Caenorhabditis elegans: one gene and its partner. The protein of the gene in region 1 interacts with the protein of each later gene in a pairwise test. Each region holds a gene or a part of one and is shown in the gene's direction. Other genes may lie near its edges.

Region 1 (4,048 bases):
CATCAACTTTTAATAAAATGTTTCTATCATTTCGCATGTGCTGTTTACTTTTTGCTGCTCGACCAGGTGATACTCTTATCAGTTGAATACTTGAATACTGCACACTGACTGTTTTGTGTTCCATTTCAACACATTTGTTGTTTACTTCAAAACTACTAAACTGAAATGGGAAATTATCTTGAAAGCTCTTCAGAAGAATTCAATGAAGCTGCTTGGCATTCAAGTGAGGAAGATTTCAGTGTCAAACTTACAGTTTTAAGGTATATAGGAAACATATTGCGTTCACCAGAAAGCACATTTTCAGAGATGCAATGATTCAATTACGAGTTCAGTTTCTACATTTTCAAAGTATTTTCTATCATCAGAATAAAGCCAAAATTGAGCACGAAAAGAAGTCACTCAATGTTATAATTATAGTCGTTCAAAACCAAATTGACGATATAAAGCTGATAGTTGGAGAATATTTCAAAATCAAGAACCTCCAGATGTTGAAGACAATTATTGATAGCTTTGAGTATACATTGAATAAAATAGCATTCGAAATAAGCAAAGCAAAAGTAATGTTTTTTTATTTTTTTAGAAATTTAAGAATAGAATTTCAGGGCCAAAATTTTTTCATCGAGAAGGTAGAGAAACTAATCAACAATCTCAATCCATTCGACGTGCCAATTTACGAAAATATTCAAGGCGTCGTATTAGAACTGAATACTCAAGTTTCATCAATGGGAAATATTCCTGAAAAACTAGAAATTAAAACGCAAAGGGAGACTTTTCAACTCGAAGTGAGTTTAAATCTCTTACAGTTTGCTACAAAATTATGTTACAGGAAGAAAATGAGATCAGAATGGATAATTGTAGAATGATGAGTGGTCAAGCTAAAATTTACAAAATCTTCCGAAAATCGGTTGTTCTTTTCGTGAATTATCTTGAGGATGAGCAAACTTTATCTACAATACAATCACTCAATGATAATCAAATTGAATACACTATATTTGATGTTTCCACAGATTCTGAAATTCGATTTATTTCAAAAGCATTATCAGATTGTGAAACCTTCCCTCAGCTGTTCGTTGATGGAGCTTTTGAGCCATTGCCAATTCTGAAAAATCTTCTTCCGAAGCTTCCCAAGGTCTACACAATGAATTGAGCATCACACAATTTCTAAGCTATATGTATATGTATTGTTTATTTTTTATTATCAATTTAAAATAAATTTTTTCAAAAATAATGATATTTAAAAACTATTCATTCATATGATTTGCTATCGAATTTCATCGATTTTAGTTTTTCGTTAATTCTGCAAGATTTTCCGAAAGGACGTACGTAAAAATGTAGTTAGAACGTTTTTATTTGTGCTTTATTAAAGCAACTCTACTCTTAAAAAAAACTATTCTTAAGTTTCAAAAATAATTGTCAAATAATGACTCGCGAGATATCAGCTGCTTGAACTTTTTCCAGAGTTTGGATATGAGATTTCCTCAATAGGAATCATGTAGACAAACTTGTGGAACATTTTGGCGTTTGAAAGATTTTTTTTGAAAAAATCCTCCATTTTTGAGCTGTGCTTAAAAAGCCATTGAAACAGTAATTTTATATCTCATTTTTCTTAAAATTCTCTTTCTGACTTTTTGGTCATATCTGAGAACAGAGAACCCTGGTATCCCTCTCACATGGCATCTCTAGCCTCTCTGCCATCCTCCTGTTCCTCACCGATGCACCATATAAATCGAAGAGAAACAGAGAAAAAGCCTTGACTATGAAACACTGCGTCTCCGTTCTCTTACACTATTTATATGTTTGCTTTTTTCTCGAACTAGTTATTCTTCGCCAACCAATTTTAATTTTTTCTTTCTTTTGCTTCGTCCTTCTAGGAAACGATGATGCGCGGAGTTTTTGGAAAGTCTCCGGAGAAACTGAAACCCGAATTGGAAAGTGAAGCTGGTGAAGAGGATTTAGGTGTGAAACTCACAGTTTTGAGGTGAGAGAAACGTTCCCTAAAACATGAAAAACTAGTGACGGTTGCGAAATAATTTAAATTTTTTAAGATGTTCAGACAGTAAGTTTCAGATTAGAAAAGGCTCTTTTAGCTGAAATTCTGAGGTGGAATAAGAAAAATTCAATTAGGTATTAATTGTAAGTCCAAATTTTCAAATTATAACCAAGAAATTTGATTCCGAAATTTCAGTTGAATATTTCAATTCCACTCCTAATTTTATGTTTTGTATTTTTCGATAAAATATTTCATTTTAGCATACAAATTTTGCCTGAAACCGTAATTTTTCCGTTGAAAAACGCGGAACATTTGTGAAATTCAAGATTTGCTCACATTCATAATTAATCGATTTTGAATTGCGAAAACTTGCGGAAACCATAATTTTTATTAAAATATGAAATTAGACACTGAACAAATTTAAATTTTTTTCAGAGATGCAATGATCCAAATGCGAATTCAATTTCTCCAGTTTCAAAGTGTCTTCAAATTTTGGGATTCCAATGAAGACAAATTTGTGAATGACCTGAAAGCATTGAAGATCATTGTAACAGTTGTTCAGAATAGGATTGAAGACCTCAGAAACGTGGCTTCGGAGTACATTGAATTGCAAAATTCACAGCTAGCAAAAAGAAAATTGGACAAGTTCGACGATATTTTGAATCTGATCGTTTTGGAAATAAATGAACTAGAGGTAAGTTAAAACATTCTCTTAAAATTTTCAATCATTAAATTTCCAGAGAGACAATTTCTCAATTCAAAAAGTTGAGAAACTAATTAACAAGCTTAACCCATTTGATGTTCCAACTTTTGAAACTTTGGAAGAAGACACTGCAAATCCAGAAAAACTACCCGTTAGCAGAAAAGCCACAAATTTTCCAGATCAATTGACAAAACAAACAGCTCAAAGGGAGGTTTGTTCTGAACTGAAATTCATGTACAATTTTAAAAGTTATGTTTTCAGGAAGAAAGTGAAATTCGAAATGATAATTCAAAAATGGAGAATGGTCAAGCTAAAATTTACAAAATCTTCCGGAAACCAGTTCTTCTTTTTGTAAATTATCTTGAGGATGAGCAAACTCTATCTACAATACAATCACTCAGTGATAATCAAATAGATTACACTATATTTGATGTTTCCACAGATTCTGAAATTCGATTTATTTCAAAAGCATTATCAGATTGTGAAACCTTCCCTCAGCTGTTCGTTGATGGAGCTTTTGAACCATTGTCAAATCTAGAAAATTTGCTTCCGAAGCTTCCCAAGGTCTACACAATGAATTGAATCACTATTTTCTACCTGATCTTTTTACAAACCTCATTTACTCCGAATACCTCGTAAAACTCACATGATGAATCTATTTATTAATGAAATGAAGTTATTAAAAACCGTAAAAATTATGAACCGGTTACAGTGAGAGAGATACATGGGGATATAAAAAAGTGTCAGTTAAATAACGAGACGAGAAAATCTCATCATTTTCTTAGTCGGGTAAGATCCGTCAGCAGCTGGAGCAGCTGCGCCGGCGGAATATCCACCTGCGTCTGCTGCTGGGGCTGCTGGAGCGGCATCTTGTGCCGGAACTGGAGCGGCTTCTGGTGCTGGTGCTGGAGCGGCTTCTGGTGCTGGTTCTGGTGCAGGAACTGGGGCGGGTTCTGCTGGCGCAGCTGGAGCGGCACCTTCTTCAGCATAATCACGAGCAACTCTTCTCTTCTTGGATGGATAAGATCCACCACCAGTTGGAGCATCTGCGCCGGCGGAATATCCACCTGCGCCTGCTGCTGGGGCTGTTGGAGCGGCATCTGGTGCCGGAGCTGGAGCGGCTTCTGGAGCTGGAGCTGGCGTTGGTTCTGGTGCTGGAGCCGCTTCGGGTGCTGGAGCTGGAGCTGAAGCGGGTTCTGCTGGAGCAGCTGGAGCAGCTCCTCCTTCAGCATAGTCACGAGCAACTCTTCTCTTCTTGGCTGGATATGATCCACCGCCGGCTGATGCAGCAGCGGCATAACCTCCGGCATCGGCTGCTGGTGCTGCAGGGGCGGCTTCTGGTTCCGGAGCTGGGG
Region 2 (3,295 bases), on another chromosome or scaffold:
CCTACTTCACTTCTGAAACGGATAGCAGTGAAATGGTTTTCAAGGCGTCGTATGAATATCCACACATGATTCCAGCAAAACCAGACCCTTCTTATTTAGTTACTCCAACCGAATGTTCACCATAACATGAAAACAACTTTAAATATTTTCATGAAATGTTCTTTCAGATATATAATAAGCCCGGAAATGTAGGAATAAAAATAATAAAAATTTATATTATTCTTATTTTATTTTTTCCCTTTTAAATTGATGGTAAATGAACGGATATGTTTTCACGAAAACTTTTAATTCCGAACTGAGTGCTCAATTTCCTCATTCTCAAAATTGTTCGTATTTAGTATTCGAAATCGTAAAGCCGCAAATTCATTTTTGCCATTTCCATTTGGAAGAAGTGCTCTTCAAGAAAAAACAATTAGATTGGGTATATTTGCTGGCCGACTTCAATGATCTTCAATCTCGATTGAAAACTTGAGAATTCTATTGCTTTCCAGAAACAAAATGTTGTTCGTTTTTTTTTCATTCCTTATAAAAAATCGAAAACCACACAATTTCCTTATAAGATGTTCAGGGAAGTGTGCAGTTTCACCGAAATTCCCACTTTATAACAGCGGTGAGACCAAAGAAGCAAACTCTACCCGGTTCTAAGAATTAATTGACAAGTGTTCTACAAAATTAGAATTTTAAAGAAGATGAGGGCAAACCATTTTAGTGGTTTTGTGGTAACTGAGAAAAACAATGTCCACTATATATGTAGACCGCTTTTACAATTTTATGAGACAGTTGAAAAATTATTGTGAGTTCAAATAATCAAAATTTGAAATTTAGCCAATGAAAATTATATTTGAACTTTTAAAAAACCTTTTTAAACTTCTTTTTTTGTTAAAAAAAATAACCCAATTCTGACGAAAATCTGATCCTACAACATTGCTGCGTCTCAAAAAAAAAACGATGCAAAGTTGGCAAACGTCAAGTTTTTAGTTAAAATTATACTTTTTCTCTGTTTATTTTGAGCCGCCATAAAAATTTCTGAATATGGCTGGGAGGTTTCATTACAACAATTTGTTTATTTCGGCGCATTTAAAGTCTATATAACATATGTAAAAACTCAGTGATGATAATTCTTGTTTTTCTTCGGATTATTTCAGTGATATTTAAAACAATCAAGCTTTCAAAAAAATAGGTATAAAACGTTGAATGCAAAAATTTTGGTATATCTAAGCATCATGTAAGCCAACAAAAGTGGGCGTTGTGACTAGAAAAACAACAAAAATTATCTGAATACTCATCCAAACACATTTTAATGCAAATTACCTTGTGGGCGCTCTCATGTTACTGACTCGGAGCCAAATTTCTCCAAAACTATAAATTCTCGTTTTTCCCAATTTCATGCACACTTGAATTTTGTTTTCCTGTAGACATCGTTCAAAATATTTCCCCGAACTTCTCATTTAAGAAATTGCAGTTCATAAATCTTCAATGGTTGTTTTTATACGTAGGTGAACTTTTGAAATATCGAAAATCGCTGGGCCATTGAAAATAAATGACACGTATTGAAATATCCATGAATTTCCGTTGTCCAACCCCAAACGTCACTTGACAAAGTCCACCAAAGTGCTTGCCTGCTTTAAAATTCTTAATTTTAGTTGACCAATTCAACTAGCATATCTCACTATGTGTGCATAGGCATGCACGTGGACACGTCAAGTTTTTTTTTGGTTGCTCAATCGCACTAATGGCTTTTCCAGAGTTTTTTGGAAGTCGTGGTGCCAATAGAAGTAGAAGAAGATGTCAGCCATTTTCTACTCATCCACTTTCTATTCCTTACCTGGTCGCTTAATTTTGCGAATATTGAGCAAGTTGATATGTTTTTTTCGGTAAAAATGCTTTAAAAACTTAAAATAATTTTTTAAAACATATGAATAGCTTGTGGGACATGATTTTTTATTTATGGTATTCTAATCAGATAATATGTATTTTGTGCGTAAAAAACAGAACAATGGATATTATTCGATGCACCATCCACCCACATGATATCATTTTCCTTCTTATTTCCACCCTATGTGCCACTTTGCACACCTACTTGAAAACTGGAGAACCCATTCTATTTCCCGAGAAATACTTGTTCTATTGGTCATTTTATTTTCCGGCTCACTACTTTCTTGCCGAGTTGTATAAGGTTAAAAACATCAAACCCCATTTGTAGAGCCGCATCGCCGTCATGTTCAACGTCAAACTTCTTCTCGCTTTTTTCTTGTGTGTTTTGGTAGTTGAAACTACCACAAAGGTGGTCAAGGTAAAACATAATTAGTGTTGAAATGAAAGCTAAATTCACAATTTTCAGTTTCACTCAGTTTCCTTCAATCAACCATCCTGGAGAACTTCCCAACGCTCCAGACAGGTTGGTAGATGATTTACTGTTAGTTTTCAGCTGCAGTTTTTACAGAGTCACAATTTTCAGATTCAAGGCTACGGTCCAGTGTCGGCGTTTGCTGAAAGCGGCTCCTCTCGACCACTTTTTTTCGGTTCATGGCGCAAACGCTTCGATGAGGAATAAATTTTATTCATTCGTTTCTCAAGATCTTACGTTTTCCCGTTCGTTTGTCAGTGAAAATAAAAAGTTGTTATGTGTTTTTTGTTTTTTTAAACAAGACTGAACATATTGAATTAATTTATATATAGTTGAAAAGGAAATTACATTTTTGCACACTGCAACTTCCGAACTCGCTGGTCTGCAACGGTGGCTCTTTATTCGAATAGAATAATTCAGAAGGTCATTAAAAATGTCGAGAAACGTGATCTGGTCCAAGTCACTTTTAAAGTTGGTAAAAACACTAATTGGAGGAACTAAACTAAAGAGAAAACTAGGATGTGGTATTTGAAGGAGATCATTTTCCTTTGAAAAAGAGGTCATGCATAACATTTTCATAATAATCAGGTCATACCACCCAATACGTTAAGCCAAAGAACAAATATATGTAGACAAGACTTTTCTAAATTCTGGTGCTTTGAAGAAAAAACTTTCAGGCTGAGAACATTGAAAATGCAACGAAGTTTTTTGTTGATTGTTTGTTTTGTGTTGAACGATTACCCTTGTTAAACCATAGCTAAATTTTTCAACTAGGGACTAGAGTACTTGATTACCCATAGACTGATCGCGTCTGCTCCGCGCGCATTCCAAATTTGTAAAATGTCTTTAAAAAATTCTGTGCGCGCGGATAGAACGCGATCAGAGCGCAAACTTGGCGCGGAAGAAGCTAGAAAACACGTGTCATTGGAGCGTGAACCAGTAATCTAG

Evidence for each region. The genes of interacting proteins can lie anywhere in the genome.
Region 2: the proteins of F47B8.3 (region 1) and nssp-82 interact in a two-hybrid assay, tested with the Caenorhabditis elegans proteins (one large-scale study listed by BioGRID).

The regions. Positions count from the first base shown.
Region 1 is NC_003283.11:14,320,706-14,324,753, reverse strand, and holds F47B8.3 (Glutaredoxin domain-containing protein), read left to right. Parts: upstream 1-1,750; 5' UTR 1,751-1,877; coding exon 1,878-1,978; intron 1,979-2,425; coding exon 2,426-2,684; intron 2,685-2,730; coding exon 2,731-2,904; intron 2,905-2,954; coding exon 2,955-3,275; 3' UTR 3,276-3,387; downstream 3,388-4,048. Other genes in the region: F47B8.4 (Glutaredoxin domain-containing protein), read left to right, coding at 166-260, 305-557, 603-782, 827-1,147; F47B8.14 (Skin secretory protein xP2-like), read right to left, coding at 3,441-4,048.
Region 2 is NC_003284.9:8,065,470-8,068,764, forward strand, and holds nssp-82 (Neuropeptide-Like Protein), read left to right. Parts: upstream 1-2,098; 5' UTR 2,099-2,218; coding exon 2,219-2,293; intron 2,294-2,341; coding exon 2,342-2,398; intron 2,399-2,458; coding exon 2,459-2,554; 3' UTR 2,555-2,628; downstream 2,629-3,295. Other genes in the region: C18A11.3 (DUF4309 domain-containing protein), read left to right, coding at 1-125.